Linked DNA regions of Pelodiscus sinensis. The protein of the gene in region 1 purifies or fractionates together with the protein of each later gene. This does not show direct contact. Links are inferred from orthologs where the notes say so. Each region holds a gene or a part of one and is shown on either strand. Other genes may lie near its edges.

Evidence for each region. Proteins that work in one complex are often made in the same cells at the same time.
Region 2: the proteins of SKIC8 (region 1) and SF3B1 purify together in Homo sapiens (co-immunoprecipitation; 3 studies listed by BioGRID and IntAct, with this or other methods). This does not show direct contact. The link is inferred for Pelodiscus sinensis from reciprocal best matches to the Homo sapiens genes SKIC8 and SF3B1.

The regions. Positions count from the first base shown.
Region 1 is NC_134724.1:39,734,664-39,742,711, reverse strand, and holds the start of SKIC8 (superkiller complex protein 8), read right to left. Parts: upstream 3,067-8,048; 5' UTR 3,052-3,066; coding exon 3,020-3,051; intron 1-3,019. UniProt on the Homo sapiens protein: Component of the PAF1 complex (PAF1C) which has multiple functions during transcription by RNA polymerase II and is implicated in regulation of development and maintenance of embryonic stem cell pluripotency.
Region 2 is NC_134717.1:71,442,299-71,450,335, reverse strand, and holds the start of SF3B1 (splicing factor 3B subunit 1), read left to right. Parts: upstream 1-4,953; 5' UTR 4,954-5,073; coding exon 5,074-5,101; intron 5,102-8,037. UniProt on the Homo sapiens protein: Component of the 17S U2 SnRNP complex of the spliceosome, a large ribonucleoprotein complex that removes introns from transcribed pre-mRNAs.

The DNA of each region.
Region 1 (8,048 bases):
AGCTAAGAGATTTTGCTGGGGGGGGGGGGGGGGAGGGAGCATGAGAAGTCTCCCTCCTATCTCTCTAGCCACCTGGAAGTTGGAACAGCTGGCTTTTTAAAGTGGAGCTGTTCTCTGCCTACTGTTTCCAGCAAGCCAGTCACAGGCTGGATCCAGTGTCAGACAGTCTCTTGCTCACCCGTGTTCTAAACCTTGTTAACTAATTAGACAAGCCAAAGTCAATCTACATTGTTCTTCAGCCATGTCCAGATCTTCATCCACATATTTTCTCCTAATAAGCATCATGGGATAGCCAAGTTAATCTGTACAGGATAAACTTAAAAAACAACAAAGTTCCAGTCATCTGAAGAAGTGGGCTGTGCCCACGAAAGCTCATGATAAGCTACATGCTTTGTTATTCTAAATTTTTTAAATTTATCCTAATAAGCAGTTTTCCTTATGATGTTTCATTCTTGCAGCTAGGCCCTGCATCATCTTCTTCCACTGCTTACACGACATGTTTTCCTTTTTTACCCAGGGAATTAATTTCTTCAACATACTCCCACATAGGGTCTCTTTTACACTCAGAAGCCATAACAGTTTTTCTGTGGCAAAAGCGTAGGGGACTATAGGAAGCTGTGTGTATGCTAAATAATGTCTTCCTTTTTCCAGTCCACTCCAGTGTTCCTCTCTATGCTGCTTCTGTCCTTTCCTTTTTCCTGTCCACTCCAGTGTTCCTTTCCATGCTGCTTCTGTCCTTTCTTATATATTATTTCTGTTTTTAGACAATGTCTTAACTAACTCTGCTGTGCTTGGCCCCGGTTTACCACCACATAAAATACAGAACAAAAACAATCCTATCCAGCTCATGTCAGTCTTTGTACATGTTGCTCAGCAGACTAACAAACTGAAAGGCCAGAAATTTCAAGGAGCAAGAGCTGGTCGTTAAGCTGAACGCTGCCTTCTATCGAGGAAGTCTTCATCCTCTCTGATCAAGTGTAGGGTCGACACTTGGGCCTCCAGTCCTCAAATTTTTTCTTCCAAAATGGCGACCAGCTTGCACTTAGTGCAGATGAGATCCGTTCTTTCATGATCCAGTTAAGATCCTTTTCAATTCTAAATTGACTGTATTGAATTTGCTCCAGTTCAGCTGTCTCCCTTTGTAATTGGGGTTTAAAGTTCTTTTGAAGAAGAATAGCTACTTTTATATAAGGATGTTAGATAGTGTGTAATTAAATAGTCATGTAACCAAATCAAATGTTAGCGGTTACATGACTATTCGATAATCACCAGGGGCAGAGCCAACAGTCAGTGTGCTCTGAGCCTCACTCATGGGGAGCCCCTACCACCCAGCACTGCTGCCTCTCCATCAGAGGCAGCAGCGCCAGGTGCAAGCAGGAGCCAGACTGCAAGGGGAGCCAGTTTAAAAACCAGCTCCTTGTGCAGACCAGTTCCTGCCTGCCACTCCTGCCTGTTGGGGGTGGGTTAGGGAGGCAGCACGGGGCAGTGGGAGGAGCCGGAGGGGAGGGGAGGAGAGGCAGCACCATGGAGCCAGTGCTGGGGAAGAGTTGGCTTTTAAGCTCTGCCGCTGCCTGTGCTTGTGGAGAAACAGGAAGTAGGGGCAGGTGGGTCCTACTCTGTAGGAAGCAGCAAGTGGGGGCAGAGGGGTTTACAGAGCTGGCAAGTGCAGAGAGCCACTTAAAAATCAGCTCCCCATGCATTTTGGCTCCTCCTGCTCCCCTCACCCTCCACGCTGCTTTCTCTCTATCAGAGGCATCAGCAAGGAGGAAGTGGGGGGGCAGGCAGATCCAGTACTCATGGGGAGGCTTAAAGCTGGCTCCCCACAGACACTGGCTACCATCTCCCCCCTCTTGCTGCCTCTGATAAAAGAGACAGCATGCGGCGGGAGGGGGGGGGAGTGCATGTAGTCGACAGAATTAACCAATAAGCCCGCATTTATCATTTAATCATGTAGTTGTCTACACACTAACATCCCTACTTTTAAATCCTTTACTGAATATCCAGGAATGTTAAAGTGTTCCCCTACATGTTTATGTGTGTTACCGTTCCTCATGTCTGATTTGTGCTCATTTATCCTTTGGTGCCGAGACTGTCCAGTTTTAAAAGGGAGGTTAAAACACTTTCTGGTTCTACATCCTAAAAAGAACTGGCTGATGTGGAAGGAAAGCAGAGATGAAAATAAGGAGGCCCACCTCAGGGCACACTCTTTCATTTAAGCCATTTATTTCATTCTCCAGCTTTCCCAACTCTCCCTATGCAAAGCCACAGCCCACCTTTCAGCACCCCACAAGGGCACAGCCTACTAAGCCACCTAGGAACCAACACTAGCCAGGTAAGTTGCCACCTTAAACTCTTTCATGTGCCTGAAAGTAACCTGGGAACACTAGGAGCACTCCTAGACTGTTCCTACAAGAAGGCGGTTTTATTTCTGCACATGGCACAGAGCTAGAGCTGGCAGACTTGTCTCTTTTCAGTTGGGTTTATCTATCTCCCCTTTCCCAACACAACTGTAATTGGGTTCACAATACTGCAGCTGGGGGCTAAAAACTCTCCTTGTAACAATTTAAAAAGTGACATTTCTATTCATTAAAACAATACCTAAATTGGGACCTTTAAAAAGCCAGAGTTTGCTGTTAAAGTAGCCAGCTGGGGTGCAGTTTATGATGCACTCTCCCAGCCTGGCTTACAGCCAGGTGAGGCAACAGCAATGAAGACACGTTAAAGGGATCAGCTGGCAGTGTGCTGTAGGGGAGCCATGCAGTGGGCAGTGTACGTGACATCCCTTACTTGTTCTGTAGCCAACAGCCCCTGGAAAAAAGCCAGGGGATTTCTCACACTGCTGCTGATTTCCCTGAAGCAGTGCCCTCACACAGCTCCTTTGTGGCCAGGTAAAGTTATCTGACCCCAGGTCTCCTCACTCTTTCCTCTTCACCCCCAGCCCCGACTCATACACCATTCCCCTACCCCAAGCCTCCCACACTCCCAACCCCCTGGTCTAACTCTGCCCCACACTATCCACCTGCACACACTCCAATGGGAATGAAACTGCATTAACAACAGAAAATCCAGAGTTATTGCTTTAATTATATATTTTACATTGACAAATCCTCTTCAGTTTTCACTTGTCAGGTGGAATACATTCATGTCTGCTCTAATGGGACATAGTCATCCCTGACCTATTGAAATGGGGGGGGGGGGGCGGAATGGAGAAGAGTCCCCCGCTGGCCCTGTGTTCCCTGCAACATTTCAAAGTGGCAGCACCACATAGAGCCTGGTGTGAGCTGAGTCTCCAGCTCATCCTGGGCTCCATGAGGCGCTGCCTCTTTGAAATGCTGCAAGGAGCCCGGCGCCAGGCTGCACACAGCATTTCAAAGCGGGAGCGCTGCATGGAGCCTGGGCTTAGCGGGGGAGTCCCAAGCAGGCTCCATACCACGCTGCCGTTTTGAACCACCCCCTCCTTGCTGCCTCTTTCCGGCAGAGGCAGCAAGGGGGGGGAGGGACGGTGGCTAGTTGCACATCCCGAGACAGTACCTGCCACCCAGCATGCAAAACAGGACGGTGCAGCACTTTTAAAGACTAACAAGATGGTTTATTAGGTGAGGAGCTTTCGTGGGCCAGACCCACTTCCTCGGATCAATGTGTGGAAGAAAATCGGCACAGCCATAGATACCGAAGTGACACGTTCCTTTTTTTTTTAAATTGTATCCTTTGGTATATATGGTTGTGACTATTTTCTTCCACTATTTGATCTGAGGAAGTGGGTCTGGCCCACGAAAGCTCCTCACCTAATAAACCATCTTGTTAGTCTTTCAAGTGCTACATTGTCCTGCATTTTGCTTCAGCTGCACCAGACGAACAGGGCTGCAGCGCTCTCGCCGCGCAGCACGCAGAGTGCCGCCCACTGCAGGGAGGAGCGGATCCGTCCGAGCTGGGCCAGGCCCGGGAGCGGAGCGGCAACAGCCCGGTGGGCGCTACCGCCGAGGGACGCAGAGCACGGCACGCGCCGCCCTCCGGGGGTCCCCTCCACTCCCGCACCGGCCGCGCCTCTTACCTGAGCGCCGCCGCCGCCCTCTGATGATGCTCGTACCACAGAGAGCTCGGCTAGAGCGTCCCGCCGGGGCCGCCTCCTCCCCGCAGTGATCATAGAGGAAGGCGCAGCCGCGGCTAGAACGTTGCGCGGCCGCCCGGTGGCAGAGAAGGCCCCTTGAGCCGCCCTCCCGTTGCCTCGGCAACCGCCCCGCCCCTGCCCGCTCTTCCTCGGGAGGAGGGGCGCTCGGAGCCTGCGCAGCCAGGCGAGGGCGGCTGTGCGCAGGCGTGAGCAGGGCCAGTCAGGGAAATCCTGTCACCTCAGCGCCGCCCGCCCAGTCCAACTGCTGCCGTGAAAATCCTCCCTGCCCCCAGTCGCAGCCCCTCGCTGACACGTCACACGGATGCCTGCTCCTGCCAAGCAGACCATTCCAGCGGGGCCAGCTCCTCCGTGCCTCCTCCACCCTCCCCACCTTCTTGCCCGCAGGGCCAGCCTGGGCCCCCTTTTGCCCCCTGCACACGAGGCTGGCACGGGTCCCTGCCACCACCCAAGGCCCCCCTCTTCCTCCCCCTCCCGACTGCTCTGCTGCCCACCTGCAGGGCTGGCCCAAAACCTGAGGCCCCCCTGCCACCTGGGGGCATCCCAAGTCCTACTCTGCCCCGTGCACACAGCTGGCTGAAGATCCCTCGCTGCCTGCCCACACTGGGCGGGTCCAGCCCAAGCTGCTGTCCCAAGACTTCCCCCCATGCCACTTACCCTGCCCCACCTACATTTTTCTCTGCATCCTGCTAGGAGGTCCCGCACCACTTAGCAAAACTGTTTGCCCTGTTTGCTCTTGCCAGCTGATGGCTGAATGGGATTAATGCCCAGCTTCTTTTTTGGGGGGGGGGGGGTGCTAAGGAGTCAGGATGACTAGGACGGGGTTCAAAAAGGGATCGTCCCAGACACAATCGGATGTATGGTTACCCTAACTAGACATTCACTCTCCTCTCTTCACCTACCTCTATGGCCTCTCTGTTCTTGGAATGCCTCCCTAGCCCGGCTTCCACCTTTTTCAATGGTCAAGTTCATCTGCAAAACTCTTCAGTGGGGCATAATCATCCTCTTCAAAAATCAACAGTGAAACCAGTGGTACTACCCAGACTCAGGTAAAAGATGTGCTATATGGGGCAGTCGATAGTGGGCAGATGAACTATTTTTAAGCACGAGATCGCTTTTTGAATTTAAGTGCAATCTAGGATCTACCTCAAATCCAAACACCTTTGCCCCACCTCCTTTGTGCCCTTTCTCTGAGGCCCTGCCCCTGCTCACTCCATCCTCTCTCCCTTTCACGGGGCAGGGGCAGAGGGTTGGGGCACAGGCTCTGCTCTTGGGCTAAGGGATTTGGAGTGTGAGAGGGACTCTGAGCTGAGTTTGGGGTGGGCCTTTGGGGTGCTGGAGGGGGTTTTAGGTGCAGACTCTGGGAGGGTGTTTGGATGCAGGGGTGCCTGGAGCTGGGGCAGGGCCTTGGGGTGAAGGAGGGGGTTCATGATGAGGGTAGGAATTTGGGATGTGGGCTCCAGCTGGGCCCTGCTTAACTCAGGTGGCTCCTGGGTGGTGGTGCAGTGGGAGTAAGGCAGGCTTCCCCCTGCCCTGGCCCTGCACCACTCTCAAAAGCAGCCAGCAAACTCCATCCCAAATCCTGTTGTCCCCCCCCCCTCCAGTTCTGTGGATATAGAATACAGGGTGGGAGGGAGCACCCTGACAGCAGCACCCTCTTCTCCCTCCCCTGCCCTGCACAGAAAGCAGGAGGCTCCCGTGGAGGGGAGGGGCACCTCCAAGGCAAAGGGCAGGAGATGAGCAGCAGTGGGGGGAGGGGCAGCTGAAGTGCTGCCGCTTGATAGCCTCTTGGTCAAACCTCTCAGGATGACCTGTTAGAGTCTCCAAGATCTTCCAGTAGATCTACTAGTCGGTGACCACTGAACTAGAGAATGGTCTGTAGCCCGGGAAGACAGAGCGGTGGTTTTGAGATATATGAATGTGTAGCCCAGAATAAAAATATAAGTAGCATGAGCAAGGCTGGTTTTAGGAGTGAGTCACTTGGCCAACTGCCCAAGGGAGCCATAGTCAAAGGGGTGTTGTGCAGCAGTGCAGAGGTGCGCGCTAACTGTGGAGACCAGGGCTACTCAGCTTTGGAAGCCCTGGGGGCCACAATACCCACAGCACATGACGAGAGCCGCAACTCAAGTGTGGTTGCACATATATGCAAATAGCTTCTTTGATACTGACGGGCATGAATACAAAGATTAAGGCAAGATTACAAAACACGCAGGCCCCATTTAAGTCAGATCTTCTGATATTAATACAATGCAATATTTATCCAATTTCCACCCATGTGACAGCATTTTTAATGAGCAATAACAGTTAAGCAATTTAATTACTAAAACATATCAACAGAAGACCATTACAATGATTACTTTTTTGATTTGTCTTCACAACAGTCCAGAAATTTAACTACTAAACACATATCAACAGAAGACCATTTATATTCATAACTTTTTTGTTTTGGCTTCACAATTTTAACAAATCAAACAAAAACTGCAAATACAATATTTACCGAAATATAAGTACAATCAATGTGAAGTTAAAGGCACCAAGCAGAGAAGTGGCATGTCTAGAAAAGGAAGTCAGGAATCCTGCTTCCCAAAAGCCCTTCCTTTCCCCAGCCTGCCCCACCAAGGATCAGCTCCCACAGTCCTCTCAGAGCAGAAACTGGAACCCCCAAATCTAACCAACGGACTCATCGCCCACCTACAGTAAAGGAAAGAAGTCAGAAGTTTTAATACCCAGTTCCCTGCTCTAACCCAGTGCCCCTGCTGTCCTCCACAACCAGGCACCCTCCAGCCCTCCCGCTCCAATCCAGTGCCCCTCTCCCAGAACCAGGCATCCTCCAGCCTTCCCTGCTCTAACCCTATGCACCCAGCCTTCCCGCAGAGCCAGGCACCTCCAGTCCTCATTCTCCAACCCAATGCCCATCTCCTCCACTAGAACCAGGTACCCCCAGCCTCCAAAGCTTTTGCGCAAAAGGGCCAGTGTAGACAGCTCAGATTTGTTTTCCGGAAAAAAGCCCCGATCGCAAAAATGGCGATCGGGGCTTTTTTGCAGAACAGCGCGTCTAGATTGGCACGGATGCTTTTCCGCAAAAAGTGCTTTTGCGGAAAAGCATCCGTACCAGTCTAGACGCTCTGTTCTGAAAATGCTTTTAACGGAAAACTTTTCCGTTAAAAGCATTTCTGGAAAATCATGCCAATCTAGATGCAACCAGGGCAAATAGCAATTAAAAAGAAAATTAACCTCCCAGAGGCTGAAACTGGTAGAAGCAAGACAGTAATAATTGTACCTAATTCTAACGTGCTTTTCATGAGCAGATCTCAAAGCACTTTTCATATCTCTATCTCCAATTTACAGATGGTGCAACTGAGGTAGGGGAAGGAAAATATTAAGTTTAATAAGTGGGTAAAGCTAGGATGCCACTATTCAGAAGTTCTGAAGCTGAATGTAGAGCATGTTGTAATATACTTAGCAAATGATAATATCATAAAGCTATATTGAGAAGGGGATTCTGTCTGGGAAGACATTAAATGTTTGGACCACTGAGCCCAGGAATTTGGGGCTGGATGCAGTTTTGTTCTAGCCTTTTCTCCCCATTTCCTCCCATTGCACCAACAATCTCCTCTGCACATGGATAGATGTGTCTAATGATGATGACAATAGTGCAGTATTTGGCACTTGGGACAAATCATTTACATCAAAATGGCCACCGCGCTGTGCCAACGATCAGCTGATCGGCACAGTGGGGCAGTCTAGATGCGCTGCGGTTGACAAGGAAAGCCTTTGTTGACTGCTCCATTATGCCTCATGATACGAGGTTTACTGGAGCTGTCGACAAAGGCTTCCCTTGTTGACCAATCAGCTGATCGTCGGCACAGCGCGGCGGCCATTTTGATGTAAATGAAGCGGCAATTATTTAAATTGCCGCTTC
Region 2 (8,037 bases), on another chromosome or scaffold:
CTGACAGCTTGTCGTCCCAAGAGGGCTGGTTACTCCCACCCACACTCCCCGATTGACAGTGAAGCCCTCAAATCGATTGCTGCTCAAAGAGGTAGGCAGCCTGGTTCCCCGAGGTGTTCACTTGCAGGCTTGAAGGCAGTGAAGCATGCGAGGGTGTGCTCTTATGGCACCACCTGCTGGTCTAAAGGGACAGAAACTGCAATACAGGCAGTCCCCGGGTTACGTACAAGATAGGGACTGTAGGTTTGTTCTTAAGTTGAATTTGTACGTAAGTCGGAACTGGTGTCCAGATTCAGCCGCTGCTGAAATTGATCAGCGGCTGACTACAGGAAGCCCGAGGCAGAGTTTCTCTGCCCTGGGCTTCCTGGAATCAGCCGCTGATCAATTTCAACAGCAGCTGAATCTGGACGCCTGGGACAGAGCAGCTGGGGCGCTGCCGGGTAGGTCCTCACAGCGCCGCACCTCGGTGCTGCGGGGACCAACCCGGCAGCACCCCAGCTGCTCTACCCTAGGTGTCCCCAAGTCAGCTGCTGCTGAAACTGATCCATGAAGCGTACAGCTAGTTCGAATTAGGAAGCCTAATCCGAACTAGCTAGTCCGTGCCGCGTGTAGCCGTGCGGCACGGGGTCCGAACTAGCCGGCATTTAAAAATGGCGCCGGCCGGCTTTATGCAAATGAAGCCCGGGAAATTCAAATCCTGGGCTTCATTTGCAACTCTGTATGACTACATTACCCCCCCCTAGTTCGAACTAGGGGGGTAGTGTAGACATACCCTAAGGTACCACAAGACTCCTCCTCCGTTTTGCTGAAACTTACACAGCAAAAATAAATTATGAAATCAGTTATACCCAGCAGCACCCCAGCTGCTCTGCCCCAGGCGTCCTGATTCAGCCGCTGCTGGTCAGTTTCAGCAGCGGCTGAATCAGGACGCCTGGGGCAGAGCAGCTGGGGTGCTGCTGGATTGCTCCAGTAGCGCCGAGGAGCGGCGCTACTGGAGCAACCCAGCAGCACCCCAGCTGCTCTGCCCCAGGCGTCCCCAAGTCAGCTGCTGCTGAAACTGACCAGCGCTGACTACAGGAAGCCCGAGGCAGAGTTGCTCTGCCCCGGGCTTCCTGGAATCAGCTGCTGATCAGTTTCAGCAGCAGCTGACTTGGGGATGCTTGGGGTTCTTAAGTTGATTCTGTATGTAAGTCGGAACTGGCGGTCAGTTTCAGCAGCGGCTGAATCTGGACGCCAGTTCCGACTTACATACAGATTCAACTTAAGAACAAACCTACAGTTCCTATCTTGTACGTAACCCGGGGACTGCCTGTAGGACTTCAAGTGATCAGAGACATCAGTCCCAGCCTGATGGAGGAGACACCAGTCACAGCAACTTGGGCATGTCGAAAGTTAAATTGCTCTCTCTGCTGTTTTCTAGGAACCCAAGACAGATAGGGTTGCCAACACTCCAAGAATTACTCTTTAATTAAAGATTATGTAATGTGATGAAATCTCCAGGAGTACATCCAACCACAATTGGCAACCCTAAAAAGCAAATTATATTAGCCATTATCTTTACGGGGTTGGCTTTCATGCTTCTTTATAATACAGAAAAGAGGCCTGAAGACTTGGGTTTTTTAAATTTCAGAAATGTGCTTTTCTGGTTGACTTTTACATTACAAGTTAGAGTTTGTTCTGTTTTTCTTGAAAATTAATGATCACTGGATGAGACTGAGGCTCTATAGAAGAGAAGTTGCATCTGAAAGAGGCTTGTATTCAGGTTAATTTCTTTATAATAATATCCTTTTAATTCAGACACCTTATAATTTCTCATGCAAGACATTTTATTTCTGTTAAGGATTCAATATCCACTAAGAATGTAGGCCTTGATCATGCAAAAATGTATGCATACATTTCATTTCGTGCCTACTGTGAATAATCTCACAGAGTCCAGTGGAACTACTCACAGGCTATGTCTAAACTGCACTGTTAAATTGGAAAAAGAAACGCAATTTGCGGTATGCAAATTGTGTATCTTTTTCTGATTTACATTCGAAAGAGGCTCTTTTGAAATTTGTCTTTCTACTTGCGAAAGAAAGTGCTCTTTCAAGCTTTCCCTTATTCCTCATAGAACAAGGTTTACAGGGATGGCAAAAGAGCACATCCTTTCTTTCAAATTATTTTTTTTTTAAAACGGACACTTTCCTTGTACGCGGCGTTGTTTTTTGGGGATACTTCTAGTATCCTGAAAAAGCAATGGAGTCTAGACATAGCCACAGTGTGTAAAAGTTTAGTATATAATTAAGGCATCACAGGAATGGGTCATAAATGAGATCTACATTATGAATTTTTCCTAGTACAGTAAAACCTGTGTTATCCAGCCCTGTAGCAACCGTCCAGAAAGCTCTATAAACCAGCCTTAATAATATTAATATAAAGTCCAGTTTATAGTCCAGTTGCTAGGGGACCAGCAGGCTTCCTGCTTGGTTCTGCATGGCTCCTTGGAAGCAGACACATCCCTGCTGCTCCTAAGCAGAGGTACAGTCACAGGGGGTTTGGAGTGTAAGAGGAAGTACAGGGGTGGGAGCTGGGGCACAGGAGGGGTTTTGGGATGCTGGATTCAGGGGCACTTTGTTTAAGATAAAGAAAAAATTTCTTTTGAGCTCTCCCTTTTCCTTGATTGTCCTGTTGAAATGAATGAGGTGTGAATGGAGAATGAAAGGTGAGCACATCCAGCAGCAGTTGCAAGGGTCGAGAGGGCCTGGGAGCCAGATCAAGACAATACCTGTAAAGTGAGCTCATTAAGAAGACTGGACATACAGACAGCCTTGGGAGTCAAGCATCAAGTGCCCGCCCTTGAAAGACCTCTCTTTAAAGCATTACAAAGGCAAGGTGATGACTAACTGGCTGCATGAGAGGGATAAATATGAGGCATCTTGCAGAGGGACCCCGGATTATTCGTCTTGTCAACATGGGAGCATCGATCTGGATCGGCAGAAGCCCGCTCCACCCCCCCACATCTAACTCACTTGGCCAGTGCAGTTAACGGGAGCAACTCTTGGTAACAATAAGATGGAGTGTGCTTGTGTGTCTGTGTGTGTGAGTGCATAAGTGTAAGTATCATATGCATGTGAGAAAGTGTTGATTGATCTATGTATGTTCAATAAATGTGGCGTGTTGCCTTATCCCCCTGAAAAAGATCCCGTGTGCTTCTTTTAAGCACAACACTGGGAGTGACCAGACAGCCAACAGAGGCTGTCCCTGGGATGGACCTGGCTCCCGCATTAGGAAGGCAGGATAAGGGACCCTCTGAAGGTAGCTAGGCGGGCTGGGTTCTGGAGTGATGTAGTAGATAGGGCATTTGCTAGGGGAGTATAGGGTGGTGGGTTCAAGTCTCTTCTCCCCTAGGCAAGCTAAGTCCCAGCAACCAGACAGCTAACACAAGAGGGCAGTATAGACAGGCAACACAAATTTCTTGTGCAAGAAGCCCCTATGGTTAAAATGGCCATCAGAGCTTTTTTACGGAAGAGAGCATCTACACTGCCATGGATGCTCTTGCGCAAAAGCACATGGCAGTGTAGACGCTCTCTTGTGGAAGAGTTTTTGCACAAGAACTCTTCCACAAAAGAGTTCTTGTGCAAGAAGCTGCCAGTGTAGACGTAGCTCAAGTATGCTGCATTCTGGGCTGGCTCTGCCTGGTGGGAGAAAGGGGAGGAGGCTCTATATACTACCCCCTACCCCAGGCTGGAGGCATGTTAGGCATGTTACCATGAGTGCAGAGGATCTCTTATTCCTACTTCAAGTAGGAATAAGAGATCCTCCGGAATAGGGCTTTATTCCGGAGGATCGCACCGGTCTGGACGCTCTTTTCCGGCTTTTCCCCAAGCCGGAAAAAAAGTGGCGGCCATGTTTATTTAAATCCCATGGGGGATATTTAAATCCCCCGTGCATTTCCCTATTCCAAAGTTATAAATTAGCATGCCTATTCCAAAGAAGGGGCCAGTGTAGACACAGCCGCTGTGTCTAGACTGGCAAGTTTTTACGCAAAATCATCTGCTTTTGCGGAAAAACTTCCCAGCTGTCTACACTGGCCGTTTGAATTTCCACAAGAACACTGATGATCTCATGTAAGATCAACAGTGTTCTTGTGGAAATACTGTGCTGCTCCCGTTCGGGCAAAAGCCCTCTTGCGCAAATCATTTGCGAAAGAGGGCCAGTGTAAACAGCACAGTACTGTTTTCCGCAAAAAAGCCCCGATCGCGAAAATGGTGATTGGGGCTTTTTTGCAGAAAAGCGTGTCTAGATTGGCCACGCAAAATGCTTTCGCGGAAAAGCGTCCTGCCAATCTGGATGCGATTTTCCGAAAATGCTTTTAATGGAAAGCTTTTCCGTTAAAAGCATTTCCAGAAAATCATGCCAGTGTAGACGTAGCCTTACAGTTTACATTACAGGGCTGTGATAGCCCATTAACAGGGGCCTTGCAGAGACATGTGACCATGTCACCTGATGAGGGGATCCATCTTAGATACTGTAGATGACCCCAAGAGCAGAGAGGAAATTTAAGACTGAACACAAGGGATTGCTGCTTTTTGCAAAATCTATGTACTGGTGGAGAACAGGGATGTACTAGTGTAGGCGATTAACCAATACGCAAAAGCATATCAGTTAATGCTATAGACCATATGCATTTTCCTCCCCTCCCACATCAGCAATTTTTTTTTTAGCAGCAACCCAGCTCAGTCCTGGCTTGCAACAGGTCCAGCACCTCCCCCTGGTGCAGCTCTGCATGTAATGCGTATTAGGAACCAGCCAGGCTGGCACCGCACAGCCAGGCACCAGGGGGCGGAGGGCTCGAGGCAAAGGCTTTCTTTCTCACGCTCGCGAGGGCCAGCACCGCGCCTGCGCAGCTGTCGCCCCCCCCCTCCTCTGCCGCCGACGCAACCCGCGCCTGCCCAGTGCGCCTCTGTCGCCCGCGGCCCGACAGAACCGCGCCTGCGCAGTGATTCCCCCTCCCTCCGCCCCCTCGTAGCGGAAGTGGCTGGGGGGACGGGGCGCTCCAGTTCCGCCTCGGTGTTGTTCGGGCTGCACAAAATGGCGAAGATCGCCAAGACCCACGAAGGTGAGACACGGAGCCAGCCCCGCTCGCTCCCCCCCCACCCCCCCCGCTGCCTCAGCGCCTCGCGGGCCCGGGCCGGGCTGGCTGTCGTGGCGCGGCGGGCGGCGCAGGCCGCAGCGGGCGGGCGGGCCGGGCCTGTGTAATGGCGTCTCCGCCGGGGCCTCTCGGGCTGCCCTTGCGGCGGGGGGGGGGTCACACGGTGCTGGGGGGAGGGGCTGGGCCCCGCGGTTGCGCTTCCTGCTGGGAGGTGACGTGTGGCCCGCGGCGCCCCTGGAGTGGGAGCCCCGCTCCGCCGTGCGCAGCCGCCTCCCGGCCCGCTGGAGAGGCCGGCCAGGGGCGGTGACACATCCCGCCCGGCTCGCCTCGCCTTGCTGCCTGCTGCGGCCCGGGCAGGCTCGGGTCCGGGCGCGCTTTCCACGGCAACGTGTCGCGTCTGCCGGCGCATTGCAATTGACTCGCCGTCCACAGCAGGGGCTGGCCGTGGGTACCCCTGCTGGCAGCGCAGTCTCCCTGAGTCAGCTCGTCCTCGCTCAGCCTTCCTACCAGTGCTGTTTCTTTTGCAATAAGGGGGTTGATATCGGGTTGCTAGGGAATATTAGACAATTGTTGCTGACGTAGTGCCAGAGAGTAATGTTGTTTCTGAGGTACCCGTCGCCCTCTGCCCGCTTAAGGTTATACACCTGGGGTGGGGAACTTGAGACCCTGGGGCCAGAGGTGTCTCCTAGTTTGCCTGGCTCAGGGCCACCCCTCATCCTAGCATTGCAGAGCCTGCACTGGCTCGCCAACCCCCCACCCCCACATGGAGGGCTGGAGCACACATAATCGATTAGGCTGCCCCCACAAGGGGAATGTGGGAGTGTCTTTCTCTTCCATTAGCCACCTCAGTGAGGGGGTTTGTTTTTTTGTTTTTGCTTCTGTCTTGTGGGTAGCCCCCCAACTGGTTTTTCTGTGGCTCCCTGACCCCAAAAAAGTTCTCCACCCTGGCTATACTGTAATCTGTCATGGTCTGCAAAATTACTAGATGAGAGCCCAGTTCTACATGGGAGGAACACTGTTGACTTCATTGAGTCTGAGTAGGTATCAACAGATCTGTTCAGTCACAGTTTGCAGAATTGGGCCCTTAAACGCTTTAAGTGCTATGACAAATTATAAAAGGTGGGTTTTTGTTGGGGGGGGGGGTTATTTGTAGCCAGATTCATTACTTCATTTCCCCACTGAGTGTATGCAAAAAATGCCTTTGCAGAACAACATCTGTAATACTTCTGCTCTTGAAATAGCTTTATAACAAATTGAGACAACTGATAGAAATTATTTACATGTGTGGGGGACTACTAAGTACCCCTATTCTATCTGAATGCCTCATACATACGTTGACCATATGTTTTGATTTTTCCCGGGACTGTCGCAAATTAAAATGCTCTGTCCCAGTTCCCCATCAAGTAGTGAAATGTGCTGGAAAGCCCTGCCGTTCATTTCGCAGCTTGATGGGGACACCAGTGCAGCAGCCTCCTTCCCCAGGGAAGATGCAGGTACCAGGGGATTGTGGGGGTGAAGCAGAAGGGCAGACACAAAGTGGGGGAGGAATGGGCACCAGAAGAGAGAGGCGGGGCAGGTGGGTAGAGGGAGGTGTTAGGAGAGGGGATACGGAGGGGTAGCTTCAGATGATCAGAATGGGGCTAGAGGAGGAGTGGACATGGGGAAGAGAAGGGCTGGTGCAGGGGTGGGTACCCATAAGCAGGGCTTGCCGAGCAGCGCTGTCCAGCAATCTGTGCATACTCAGATCGCCCGAACCCTGCTCTTCTGGGTTGTAATCTACTTGCCACGGGCGAGTAGATTACATAGATTGTCGAGCCGGACGCTCTCTCGTGCAAGAAAGCTCTGATGGCCATTTTAGCCATGGGGGTTTCTTGCACAAAAAAACACTGTTGCCTGTCCACCCTGCCTTCTTGAGCAAGAGGTCTTAGTCCTTGTGGAGAGAGGAATAACTCTTGCACAAGAAGCCCTCTTCCAATGCTTTGCTGTACATTTACTTGGACAAGAACATGTGTGCAGTGTAGACGCTCCACAAATTTTTTGTGCATGAACAGCCATTCTTGTGCAAGAAGCCTGCAGTGTAGACACAGCCTGTGTGTTACCACTATGATATTTAGCAGGGCTTCCCTATGCTTGTGGCTCCAGCTGGGGGGTGGGTATAGGAAGGAAGTGCACAGATCCATCTTCCCCACACCCCAGGAGGGGATGGCCCAGAACACAGGGTGGGCTTTATTGGGTGCAGCCCCTAATTCTCCTTTTCTTAATCTAGCTCCGCTGCTGGGGTCAGGTGCATTCCTCCAGCCCAGCGGGGAGAGGCGTTTTTTTCCTAGTCATGGCAGCCCTGAGCCGCTGCACAGGGCTTATTTGGCAGCCGTGTGGCGGTGCAGCTTAGAGGGAACTCTACTTGTGGATTGTTCAAATCCTTGAGTGCCGTAGGTTTGTCAGCCTCAATTGTAAGAATAGATCAGACTTATCACTCTGCAGAAAATCTGAATATTCTGTGGTTTGTCAAGGCTGCAGTCTCTTTAGTATCTTCTCTGTGTTACCAGCTTTGATAACCCTAATTGACCAAAAATGGTAACAATGCAAATATACATGCCAGTCTTGCAAACATTCACATTCTCATAAGAACATAAGAATGGCCGTACTGGGTCAGACCAAAGGTCCATCTAGCCCAGTATCCTGTCTACCGACAGTGGCCAGCACCAGGTACCCCAGAGAGGGTTGACCGAAGACAATGATCAAGCGATTTGTCTCCTGCCATCCCTCTCCAGCCTCTGACAAACAGAGGCCAAGGACACCATTTTATCCCCTGGCTAATAGCCTTTTATGGACCTAACCTCCATGAATTTATCCAGCTTCTCTTTAAACTCTATTATAGTCCTAGCCTTCACCGCCTCCTCTGG